Xenopus tropicalis: one gene and its partners. The protein of the gene in region 2 interacts with the protein of the main gene of each other region in a pairwise test. Links are inferred from orthologs where the notes say so. Each region holds a gene or a part of one and is shown on either strand. Other genes may lie near its edges.

Evidence for each region. The genes of interacting proteins can lie anywhere in the genome.
Region 1: the proteins of ccnc (region 2) and E3 ubiquitin-protein ligase TRIM39 interact in binary tests that used the Homo sapiens proteins (3 or more experiments, as listed by UniProt). The two-hybrid records come from large-scale screens. The link is inferred for Xenopus tropicalis from reciprocal best matches to the Homo sapiens genes CCNC and TRIM39.
Region 3: the proteins of ccnc (region 2) and ndufv2 interact in binary tests that used the Homo sapiens proteins (3 or more experiments, as listed by UniProt). The link is inferred for Xenopus tropicalis from reciprocal best matches to the Homo sapiens genes CCNC and NDUFV2.

Annotation. Positions count from the first base shown.
Region 1 is NC_030678.2:143,279,243-143,283,508, forward strand, and holds part of E3 ubiquitin-protein ligase TRIM39, read left to right. Parts: intron 1-3,383; coding exon 3,384-3,611; intron 3,612-3,720; coding exon 3,721-3,743; intron 3,744-4,266.
Region 2 is NC_030681.2:82,029,892-82,034,758, forward strand, and holds the start of ccnc (cyclin-C), read left to right. Parts: upstream 1-1,816; 5' UTR 1,817-1,951; coding exon 1,952-1,983; intron 1,984-3,438; coding exon 3,439-3,545; intron 3,546-3,746; coding exon 3,747-3,831; intron 3,832-4,599; coding exon 4,600-4,669; intron 4,670-4,867. UniProt on the Homo sapiens protein: Component of the Mediator complex, a coactivator involved in regulated gene transcription of nearly all RNA polymerase II-dependent genes.
Region 3 is NC_030682.2:104,466,667-104,470,932, reverse strand, and holds part of ndufv2 (NADH dehydrogenase [ubiquinone] flavoprotein 2, mitochondrial), read right to left. Parts: intron 3,396-4,266; coding exon 3,333-3,395; intron 1,564-3,332; coding exon 1,447-1,563; intron 792-1,446; coding exon 623-791; intron 1-622.

The DNA of each region.
Region 1 (4,266 bases), on a different chromosome or scaffold from region 2:
AGTCCACAGTTAGGTCCATAAATATTTGGACAGAGACAACTTTTTTCTAATTTTGGTTCTGTACATTACCACAATGAATTGTAAATGAAACAACTCAGATACAGTTGAAGTGCAGACTTTCATCTTTAATTCGGTGGGGTAAACAGTGGGGATTTTAACACGATCCCTTAATTTCAAGGGCTCAAAATTAATTGGACAATTGACCCAAAGGCTATTTCATGGGCAGGTGTTGGCAAGTCCGTTGTTATGTCATTATCAATTAAGCAGATAAAAGGCCTGGAGTTGATTTGAGGTGTGGTGCTTGCATGTGGAAGGAGCTCTGCATGCAGGTGAAAGAAGCCATCCTTAAGCTGTGAAAACAGAAAAAACCCACCAGAGAAATTGCTACAATATTAGGAGTGGCAAAATATACAGTTTGGTACATCCTGAGAAACCGGTGAACGCAAAAAGACCTGGATATCCACGGAAGACAACAGTGGTGGATGATCGTAGAATCATTTCCATGGTGAAGAGAAACCCCTTCAATACAGCCAGCCCAGTGAACAACACTCTCCAGGGGCTAGGCATATGGATATCCAAGTCTACCATAAAGAGAAGACTGCATGAAAGTAAATACAGAGGGTGCACTGCAAGGTGCAAGCCTCTCATAAGCTTCAAGAATAGAAAGGCTAGATTGGACTTTGCTAAAGAACATCTAAGAAAGCCAGCACAGTTCTGGAAAACCATTCCTTGGACAGATGAAACCAAGATCAACCTATACCAGAATGATGGCAAGAAAAAAGTATGGAGAAGGTGTGGAACGGCTCCTTAGCCAAAGCATACCACATCATCTGTAAAACATGGTGGAGGCAGTGTGATGCCTTGGGCGTGCATGGCTGCCAGTGGCATTGGGACATTAGTGTTTATTGATGATGTGACACGGGACAGAAGCAGCCGAATGAATTCTGAGGTGTTCAGAGACATACTGTCTGCTCAAATCCAGCTAAATGCAGTCAAATTGATACAAATGGACAGATGTACAATGACCCAAAACACACAGTCAAAGCAACCCAGGAGTTTATTAAAGCAAAGAAGTGGAAAATTCTTGAATGGCCAAGTCAGTCACCTGATCTTAACCCAATTGAGCATGCATTTCACTTGTTGAAGACTAAACTTCAGAAAGAAAGGCCCACAAACAAACGGCAACTGAAAGCCACTGCAGTAACAGCCTGGCAGAGCATTAAAGGAACAGTAACACCAAAAAATCAAAGTGTATAAAAGGAACTACAGTATAATGTACTGTTGCCCTGCACTGGTGAAACAGGTGTATTTGCTTTAGAAACATTACCATAGTTTAGTAAATGAAGCTGCTGTGTAGCCATGGGGGCAGCCATTTAAAAGAGAAAAGGCACAGGTGACATAGCAGATAACAGATAAAACACCATTGTATTGTACAGAACTTATCTGTTATCTGCTATGTAACCTGTGCCTTTTTTCCTTTTTCCAGCTTGAATGGCTGCCCCCATGGCTACACAGCAGCTTTTTATATAAACTATAGAAGTGTTTCTGAAGCAAATGTGCAAATTTTACCAGTGCAGGGCAACAGTGCATTGTATTATGATTACTTAAAAACATTTTTATTTTTTGGTGTTACTGTTCCTATAATAAACTCACATTTTTATGCAACCGTTTTGTTCACCCCACTGAATTAAAGCTGAAAGTCTGCACTTCAACTGCATTTCAATTGTTTCATTTACAATTCATTGTGGTAATGTACAGAACCAAAATTAGAAAAAATTTGTCTCTGTCCAAATATTTATGGACCTAACTGTATATGGGCAATTATGGCAAGGTTACAGATAAAAACATACAATTTTATCAGCTAATCAGTTATAGTTAAAGAAAACCAAGTTTACTAAATAAGTATTTGCTCCAAACCCTTACCCTATCTGACCTTCTACTTGGACTTTCAGAAATCATTTTCCCCTGAATTCTACCTTATCTGGTCTTATGGCAGAACAGCTAGTTGTGCAGATACAACTGTTGTTGCACAGCTACCAAACACCCAGTCAAACAAGTTGCAGTGATATGAAGCTTGTCTGTGAGCTTTCCTACCACAAGCCCCCCTTTTGTCGACCTTTTTTTATTCTTTTGGCCGTAGCCTAACAGTATACTGGTAACTTAGCACTAACATGAAATAATAAAATCACAGTAAATATAAAATTGCACATTTAAGGGCACCAGTGTTACAACAGTTCTACAGACTGAGAAGTGCTTAATAAACTGTTACATGTTATATCTATATATAGATATAGTTATATGTAGTGGCCTAACTAAGTACAAAACAAAGCCAAAAGAAGTGGTTTACACTGATCTGGTGAAATGTATAATAAAAAAAAATGTACATATCCTCAATCTCATGGGGACTTTTGCCCTTGGTTTTGGGAAAAGCCCCTTTAATTACCTGGTGGATAACCTAACCATGTGCCTTCTGGGTGTCCTAAATGATGTAATCCCTTCTAAATATGCAAGGTTAAGATTTTGCATTTTACTATTGTATCGAAAGAAAACAGTTGCTATGCATTGGATGGGTAACTCCCCTTCTTCCCCCAGAGCCTGCATACAACTGGTTAATAATGCAACCCCACTCTTTAAACTCACATACAAAATCAGAGGATCACCTGCCAAATTTGACATTGTATGGTGTGATATAGACTCTGTTGAGACCTAAATTAGGGAAACCTCTCCACACCTATACAGGAGGCTGCCATAAAACTGTATGGCCCCCCTCCAGGAGCAATGCCTGCCCTAGACCCTAATCTAGGATGACTGTTCTCTTGGTGTGTCCAACCAAGGGAACCTCCCCCCATGGCTTTCACTGTTACACCTTGTGTCAACTTGTACCCAATTCTCATATTCTGCGAAAACCTTTGTTTGTTTTCTTTGTTTTGGTTTTATCTTGTTTAAAATAATTAAAAAATTACCTTTAAAAAAAAGTGTAAATTATAACTTAAAAAAGGTCACTCAGAGAGAACAAGCAGATAATCAATGAAATAAAGCACCAAGGGTGGCGGAACAGGTCTCACTATGCCACAAATTAATATTACTACCTATACTATATAGTGATCTATGTAGTACCTTTAAACTGAACAGCGTACTAAACTTCTCTTGATTTTTTTTTTAAATTTTTTTATAAATAGAAACTGATTTGGGGAAAAAAGCGCTAACATGATGACATTACTGGTGAATGCTGGGTAGTTTTGTTCCAACTTGACGTTGTCTTTATTTAAAAAGTCTGTTGAAGATAGGGGTACATGGGTTATGGTGTCATGGTTTAAGTTCTCTAGTCATCTCTGTTACCCATAAATTAGTGATTTGTTACTCACGGCTTTTAACTTTTGCAGAATGAAATTGAGCAAAAACGTAGAATGCTCACCTCTGAATTTGAAATCCTGCGTCAGATTTTAGAAGATCATGAAAGAGAATTCAAAGAGCGTTTGGAGAACATGGAGAGACTGATCATTAAAAGAACAAATGAAAGGACCAGTAAGCTGAATGAAAAACTGTCATCTCTGCACGCACTCATCTTAGATATCGAGCAAAATATTCTCCCCTCGGCTCAAACATATCAGGTTAGACTTTATGATCACTGTGTCATCCATTTAATTTACATCCTATGCCAATATTCCTTTTTAACTTATATTTGTTTTTTACATATTGTTCTCTGTCTGACTTCTAAAGGAACCGAAATCTGCGGTGGGCAGGTAAATATTTGTTTTTAACTGCTTTGTAAGTCAATTGTTTTAGTTGTGTGTGAGCATTTTAGTGTTTGATAAGTAGACAAAGGTGCATTTAAGTTGCTTTCTAAATATAAATATACAATATCATAATGAATGTTTTGCCAGAAACCAAACCCATTAGCATTTACCCATTTTCTTTAACAAGATGACAAGTCCTTGCTAATGGAAAGCAGCTTAACAGCCTCTGTCTGGTACTGGAGAGGGAATTGTGGGGACTATGTGATTTACCCCCTGAGTATGTTTGTACAGAGTATTTGTATTCCAGCCTGAAAGGACTAAAACTGACATCTTAAAGGAACAGTAACATCAAAAAATTAAAGTGTTTTAAAGTAATTAAAATATAATGTGCTGTTGCTCTGCAAAAAACTGATGTTTTTGCTACAGAAAAGCTACTAAATAAATAAGCTGCTGGGTAGCCATGGGGACAGCCATTCAAGCTGGAAAAAAAGGAGAAAAGGCACAGGTTACATAGCAGATAACTAGTAGA
Region 2 (4,867 bases):
ATATATATGGGTGCAGAGAGGAGCAAAACCTAAAAATGGTTTGTCCCTGAGTACTGTTTGTGCTGAAAGTACTGTTTGTGCTTGAAACGTTGGAATTTTGTGATAAAACTTTTTTCTGTAGTAAGTCCTCTTTCTCTAGATATAGATATATATATATATATATATATATATATATATATATATATATATATATATATATATAACTTTGCTAATTGTAGCACTGTATTTTCATATAATTTAGAAATTCCTAATAAGACAGAAAAGTTATTATTTAGAATTGGTAAAAATCATATAAAAAAGCATAATTAGAGGCACTACTATAGAGAAGCATACAATTCCTCTTAGAGCATAGATTTTATGGGTCTTGGGGCATAAATACTATGTATTAGGTCTCTGCAGGATTGCAAATGTGCCATAGGTATGTTCAAAAGTATGTTCCAGCTGAGGACAAGGGCCAGAGGGAAAAGAGGCAGATGGAGAGGAGGTTCCTTCTATATACTGGTCCCAGTCCCTCAGCATTCATTGAGGTTAACCAAGCAATTCTGTTTTCACTTGTTTAACCCATACACAAATGTCATGTTGGGATCCAGGTAAAAGGCAGGTTTATTACAAAAAACGAATAACTGTGTAAAATGATATACAAGTTATATTTTTATGTGGGTATTTGTCTTATGAAAACACAAGTAAAGCAATGCATTCAACTGAATGCAAAACAGTTTGAATAAAATGTTCAGTTTACTTGTGTTTATTGAAGTAATCCCAGTGAAAAATCAGATAACTATATATCTGCTGTCTAATCTCGTTATACATATTCTGCTTCTGCTATATTTCTGCATGTCCCATGCTACGTACAAATCCTTTTCTCTTTTTTTCCCATTTATTCTTTTACAATTTTCTAAGGGACCAGTCTGCTCTACAATTGGTAGTCCAATTGGTAGTCCGGAAAAACGCTTGCTGAAAATACCGCATAAAAACGCAAGACTTTGCATTCTCTCAAGTTTTTATGTGTATTTCGGCTACATGTGCCTGAACCCAAGCATATTCCATTCATTCGGGTGCAGGCACAAGTAGGAGGCGTAGGGCGGTATTTTCAGGATGCATTTTTCTGCTTGCCGAAAATATACGCCCTATGCCTTGTCTGGCATTAGCCTAAGGCTGATGTCAGACGTGGCATATTCTCGGCAAGTCGAAAAACGCTTGCCGAGAATACGCCCTCTGCCTACTACCAGCTACGCTCTGGTGCAGGCACAGGTAGGAGGTGGAGGGCGTATTCTAGGCAAGCGTTTTCCGGCTTGCTGAGAATACACCACATCTGACATCAGCCTAATAATGCAAAAGGTGGCAACACATAGGCCAACCTGCCATTTATCCGATTATGGCCTACACCTGGCCAAATAACCCTGTTGCATTCCTTTGGGCCCACTAACTGATGGGAATTTCTGCTATTAGTATTTTTATGTTGGACAGATGGAGTGCAAATTTTTTGCAGAATAATCAACCTGTGTGTCATAGTCATGCATTATTTTCCAAATTGGCTAATTCTTTCCACTTTAATATAAGTCAATATAAAAAGAAGAAAAGACATGGTGAACACAGTCTTTATAAAAGTTGAGAAATGTTTTTTTACAGAAAACATAAGCAGTGAGAATTTGTGCGTTCCTTGTGAAGACACAAAAATGTAAAACTATAACCAAAAAACAGATTTGAAATCATTGAAATGTATACGTATGTTTGTTAACGCATACTTCTTTTATTCACAACTAGAGGCAGACTGAGTTCCGTGCTGGTGTGTGTTTCCACCCGGGACATATCAGCGTTGCACACTGGGTCTTCTTCCTGGAATCTCTACATTTCGGCTTTATAGACGCTAGCTGTGGGTTGTTGTGACGTTCTTGGCAGCGTCACAAGCAGCGGTCCGCTCATCCTTAGGCGGTGTTCGTTTGGCTCATTGATGGCGGGGAACTTTTGGCAGAGCTCTCACTAGTAAGCGTTGTTTTATTTGTTTTGTCTATAGGTAGTAGGCTGAGCTGTCGCCATCTTTAAAATTCCCTAGCACTTCACTATGAGCGGAAAAGATTCTAACCTGCTGCCTTGCCGTTCTCAGTATACCAGTGTTTTGAGACTTGCAAATTGTGAATTTCTTTGCCTGTAGTGAAGTACAGGCCTTTTTGTATTTGCTGTAGCCCTATAATAACCCTTTTAATAAAGTGCAAGTTGTTGTGTTAGCAATATACAGTCTGAAATGCAGAATAACTCATTGCAAATGAGGTCCAGGTCCAGCATTTGATCAGTTCCATGGCTTTGCTTATAAGCACAAAACAAAGCCCTCCATCTGTTGCACTGTTGCACATCCACTGATAACTATCAGGAGAATGCTGGGAGCTGAAGTTCCACTAAATGCCTGGGGACCTCAGGTAGGTCATTTTTGCCATTAAGACATCAAAATGGTTATTACAAGGTCACTGAAATATTAAAGGAGACATTCGTATTTTACATCAGTAAGTACATTTAAAGGGGTTGGTCACCTTTGAGTTAGCTTTTAATATGATTTAGAGAGTGATATTTGGAGACAGTTTGCAATTGGTCTTCATTTATTGTAGCTTTTTTTAGTTATTTCATTTTCATTTCAGGAGCTCTCCAGTATGGAGTTTCAGCAGCTATTTGGTTGCTAGTTACCTTAGTAACCAGGGAGCTGTTTGGATGAGAGACTGTTAAATGAATAGGAGAGGGCACAAATTGAAAAAAAAAAAAGCTACAAAAACTAACAACTATAAAACTGCCTCACAGAGCATTAGTTTTTGTGTTGCTGGGGTCTGCAAAGAGTTGGAAGAAGAAAGAGTTAGTTAGAATTGGTCATTCCGTAACATACTAAAAGTTAACTTAAAGGTGAACCACCCCTTTAAGAAGGGGTTGGATGACTTTTTACGATCCGAGCCCAGCCCTTAAGGTGGCGATTTGCGATCTTTCATGCAACCATCGGTCGCACACCGTTCAGGGCTGAAACGGCAGATAAGGAGGTAGAAACAATAGGATTTCTACCTCCTTCTGCCGATTCAGCGCTGAAGGCAGATTTTGGTCAGGCGCCTTCTATCGCGCCCGATCAAAATCTTTTAACTTGCCCGGTCGGCGAGTCGACCGATATCGGCAACCTCCTGCGATATCGGTCGACTCGCCGATTTGCCATACACACACCGAATATCGTACGAAACGAGGTTTCGTACGATATTATCGGTGCGTGTATGGCCAGCTTTAGACTTGGCCAATACATGAAACTACGGTTGGCTGAAACATGGAGATTGTGCGCAAAATTGCACTTGGCCCACTTCATCTAGGTAAGTGAATGTGCTCTATGGACTAATAAGAATTTGACAAAATAGCAGTGCAAAAGAATTGAAATGATATATTTTTCTAATTTTTTTTTTTTTTAATTTATTTTAGTTTGCAATGGATTTTGGACAAACAAGACTTATTAAAAGAACGACAAAAAGACCTAAAATTTTTAAGTGAAGAAGAATATTGGAAATTGCAGATATTTTTTACAAATGGTAATCGCATGTTTCTTTTAGAAACCTGGTATTTTATTATAGGTGCAATATTTTTATTGTGCTATGTTACTTCTGAATATAGATTGTTATTGGGATGCAACCCACTCAATAGCCCCCACACTGTTTGTTTCTCTTGCTACATTCGCATGAAACACATACTCATTTACATTAAACATTCATCTTATTTTCTTTCCTTTGCAGTTATCCAAGCTTTAGGAGAACACCTTAAATTACGACAACAAGTCATTGCCACTGCCACTGTTTATTTTAAAAGATTTTATGCCAGGTGAGTTTGCTGAGAGGGAAAGGACTTGTATGTGTTTTTGGTTTTATGGTAATGCCCTATCCAGTGCCAGCAGCACTAAGCAAAATTAGTGGTGTATGAGTGTTAAAATGTCACAATCCAGCTGTGGCTTACCACTACACCGTAGTGTCTTTCTGTGATAGTTAAGCCCAGACTTTCCTCAGGCAGTGCATATTATTTGAGTGTAATCATAGACTGGAAAAGTACAGGCTAATGACTGAACATTTAGTAAACATATACTTCGTCTAGGTAGGTGAATGTGCCCTATTAAAGGTGGCGACACACGTGGCGATCTGACGATGTTTAGTGCGACCATCGGACCACACCGTTGGGGCTGAAACAGCAGATAAGGAGGTAGAAACAATAGGATTTCTACCTCCTTCTGCTGATTCAGCCCTGACGGCAGATTTTGGTCAGGCGCCTTCTATGGCGCCCGATCAAAATCTTTTAACTGGTCCGATCGGCGAGTCGACAGATATCAGCAGCTTCCTGCGATATCTGTCGACTCACCGACATGCCATACACGCACTGAATATCGTACGAAACGAGGTTAAGACTAAGATTTTGACAAAATTTTTCTTATATTTTAGATCACGTTGTTGCTATAAAGCTGTGCTGTATCTTGTATGTATTGTTTTACATTTAATGTTTACAGATCCAACTTTTCAATTTAAATGGAATTGTTACTCTATGGTATGGCCTTTATGCACTTATGTTTTGTTGATATAATTTTTTTGTTTTTCATATTAGGTATTCTTTAAAAAGTATAGATCCTGTATTAATGGCACCAACATGTGTGTTTTTGGCATCCAAAGTAGAGGTAAGACACAAATTACACACACACACACTCATTCACTCTCACTGGGGTTTTCAGAGAACTGAATTCAAATACCTTTTCTGTTCTGCTAGACTACAGAAATGTAATAGTAAAAGACAAAAACTGCTTTCAGTTGTAATTATTTTACAAATAAAATATCCAATTAATTTCTATTGGTTTTTGTTTCTTAAGAAAAACTAT
Region 3 (4,266 bases), on a different chromosome or scaffold from region 2:
CTTAAAATAAAATACAAAAAAAAAAAAAACACACACACACCTAACACAAATTATAATTGTGGAAGTGATGTTGTAAAAGGGCAGGAGAAGGATTTAATTCCTTTCAAACCTCAGCACCCCTCCACCTATCGCCCCAAGCTCCTACTTCACGACGTCTATTACATGTGACTATGAGTGAATCTAGCATAAATTTGCGGAATTGTGCAGCAGAGTTCATAAGTTCTATCTTCTTCTACTTAAAGAGCAAGGAAAGGCTACTATAGTAGCCCTTAATATAGTGTAGAGCTCACAAAAATTGGTTTTTAATTTTGGTGTATTTGCAGCCTGTCACAGCCGCCATCTTGGATTCCAGCATTCCTCCGCTCGCAAACCACCCCCCACCCCCCGTGTCGATCAAACACCACCGCCACCACCCGCTCGCACCATCGCATTATGGCAGGTTCACACATAGGGAAAATGTGGGAATGAAGCTTGGAGGGTGGGCTGAGGTTTGGGGAGGGTTTAGTACCCCTTTAAACTAGCAATGCAATTCCATTTCTAGCCAAACACGCCTTTGTGTGATTTATCCAGAATATTACTTTGCAAAAAAAGTATGGGAGAGAAAATGGTCTAAGAATCATACCTAGCTTCTTTTCAATAGCTTCCAATATTGAATCAGAGTTGCAAAGCATGCAAGGTGTTGTCGTACAAATCTGGACGTGATATTTCCCCACTGGTTTTCTGTTGAACATAGTGTAGAATGTAGCCACCTCATACACACGCATGGCAGGCATCTCTAAAACTTCAGCAACCTAAGAAAGTAAAATAATACAGCACAAGTATTTACTTATTTACAGTGCTCTATTCATGCTAATCACTCTAAAACGTTCATTAGTGCATTTTCAGGGTTTATAAATATTACACAGCTACTTATGTTGTTTGCCATTGCCATCAATTGGATGAAAAACCAGAAATCCAGTGTTGTGGATACCCGTTACATTTTCTTGTGAGACAAGCGATCAGAATGTGTAATGCACTATAGCTCAAAAATATTGTATATTGGATTTGTATTGCAACTGATGTGTCAAATTTGGGTAATTATTGAATGACCAATCTAGTGTCAATACATAAGAGTTCCTACTGTTCCATTCTGTAAAACTGACATTTCTGTTTGTTACAATATCCTTGTATATAAATAATGATGTGTAAAACAAAGACTATTAAACATCTAGCAAATCCCAGCATACTAAATCACTAACACAAGTCTACATCAGCAGCACCATCAAAAGTTTGGTATCTCTAGTTTTAAATAAAATATACTGGAAAAACAAAATTAGTTATACTTGTATTTGTCCTATTTATTTCTGTTTTGCTGTATGAGTGCAAAGACAACCTTTTAGTAAAGTTTAACCTTTAGTAAGCTGAACTTTATTTCAGATCTATTTAATTTTTTCCTCATCAGCTTACCTTATTCATAGCAGATATAGGTAGCCATCCATGCTGTCTCTGTGCCAAGTCAAGAACAGGGATTACAGCTCCTGCTTTGTGACCTTCAGGATAGTTGCCAATTATAGCCTCAATTCTCTTAAAAATAAGTATATAAATATATGAATACAAAGACATAAAAATGCAAATGCATTTTAGTTGGATGCTCTGAGGTCACTAATAGGGTCAACTGTATGCAGATAGGCAGGCACTCAATAAACAGCCCATGAAGGCAGGAAGTAAAATTAAAATAGGTTATTGGTACCAGCAACAGGGACTGCCTTACACGTTTCATGATCTCAACACTTAGGGGCACATTTACTAATCCACGAACGTCCGAAAAGCGTCCGAATGCATTTTTTTTGTAATGATCGGTATTTTGCAACTTTTTCGTCACCGTCATAACTTTTTCAATACGAAAAAGTCGCGACAATTCGCGAAAGTCGTAATGGCTATGAAAAAGTCGCGACAATTCACGAAAGTCGTAATGGCTATGAAAAAGTCGCGACAATTCACAAAAGTTGTAATGGCTACGAAAAAGTCGCGACGGTGACGAAAAAAATCGCAAAAATACGAAAAAGTCGCAAAATGTTCGTTTCCAATCCGATTTTTTCCCATTCGGGATTCGGATTCGTAGATTAGTAAATCAGCCCCTTAGTCATAGGCTAAACCTCTTTTTGATTTTACTTGCTGCCATGACAGACTGCATACAGTTAAAGGGTGCCATACTTAAGATGCGCTTGCTTGTCGAGGTCCAAACGAGCCGATCTTCTCCCGATATCCCCACCTATGGGTGGGCGATATCGGGAGAATGTAGGCTAATTCGATCGTTTGGCCCTGGGGTCAAACGATTGAATTATAATGGGAGCAATGGGTGCAGTCGGTTTGGGGACCGCATCAATGAGCCGATGTGGTCCCTGATCCGACTAAATCTTTTAACCTGCCCGATCGATATCTGGCCAATTTCAGCCCAGATATCGGTCAGGCATGCCCCTCATTTCTGCCCCTACACGGGCTGATAAGCTGCCCAATTGGTCCAAGGGACAGATATCGGCAGTTACAATCGACCCGTGTATGGCCACCTTAACTCTGCTCCTCTAGCTGAAGGCTCAGGGCCTGTGAACACACAGTCTATCAATAAACTCCATGGACATGTAAAGCCTACATTTGCATACAATGTATATTAGTTGGGCACGTCTCCCCCACCCAAGTGGCATCATTTGTACTGCATATATCCCCTCCGCTTGCCAGCACCATCACATTTTCCTAAAACAAATAGCAGCTTTCACCCGGTGGCCATTTTTCCTCTGATACATAATCAGATACATTTAAATCTGCAAACAGCATATACACACACACAGACCCTTATTCAGCATACATTTAATCAAGAATACAGGCTCACACAGGCACAACTGTCTCTGATTAAAGTTCTGCTTTGTTTGAGCAGTGTTATGGTAAAGCTAAGCTCAGGAGAAAAAAAATTGAAGCAGGCAGCTAGAGCTGAGTTTCTATGGAGTTACAGGAAGAGAAGGAAATCTTAAGTGATTAAGGAGATGTTGCAGCCTTACTATTAACCTCTGGACAACCAGAGTGGCATGTATTAAAAGGTTTCAAAGAGGCTGTTCACTGATAAATTTGTGTGTGTGGGGTTTGCACTGCCATCCTAGCTAAGAATCCCTCACATGCAACATTAAGGATCACTGGCCAAGCTGGAATTCCCTTTAATCTAACAAAACAGGGTTAAATCATTGATTTTGTGACCCTGCATATAGAAAAATAATCATAACAATTGGTAAGGACTAAATTATATTAAAGTATTGTGAATGCCCGTCTTTTTGCCAGGATAAGTTATAGAGCTTAGACTGTACCTTGTAATTTTCTGAAGTGAATTCAAATGGGGTGTCCGGATTGTTTTCAGGTGTATCTCTGTGCTAAATAAAATAGAATATATAATAGCATATGTACAAATTATACCAACGAGCAAATGCATATTTATATTCCCAAATATTTTGGTAAAGCATGTCAACCAAAAAATTGCCTAAAAAGAGAAAACATAAGAATTCTAAGCAACTGCAATAACTGTATAACTGCAATATACATTCATTACAACTTCGCAATGGTATTTAAGTTATTTGTACATATAATTGCTATTAAAAGCAGTGTTTGTCTGTCCTTTTCTATTCTCTGCCCTGGTGGCTCTGGCTTTTAAAGCAATGTAACACAAGCCAGCAGACTAACCGACCCTTCTTGATGGAGGAGACTGACCGTTGCAACACTGGGCCAGATTGAATCAGCAAATAAAAGGTTTATCATGTGAAAACGTATGGATGAGATTCAATTTGGGATGCAACTCAATTTAGAAAAACTTATCTCATGGTTTATCACGTGACAACTCTATTGAAGTCTATGAGAAAAAAAACGAACTGAATAAGGTAAAACGTTTTTTTCTCCTCAAATAGAATAGTCTAAGTTTTCACATGATAAACCACGAGACAATTTTTTCTCACTGAATTAAATCAGGCCCATTGTTTAAAAACCATTAAAAAGCTTTATATATGGGGTGCAAGTAGCTTTTAATGGATTGTGATAAATACATTTTTCTTTTAACCTGAGCATTTGTGCAGGATTATATATTTAATGGTGGTTTTTCTTCTTGGCCACTAGAGGATATTCTTGCACTGTTGCATGTTGTCAGTTTATTGTATATATTATATACTCAATATTTTCCCAATGGATTGGCCTTATTAGTTTTGTAACCATTGTTTATACATAACTAGGAGTAAAGCAAATTCTGCTTTTAAT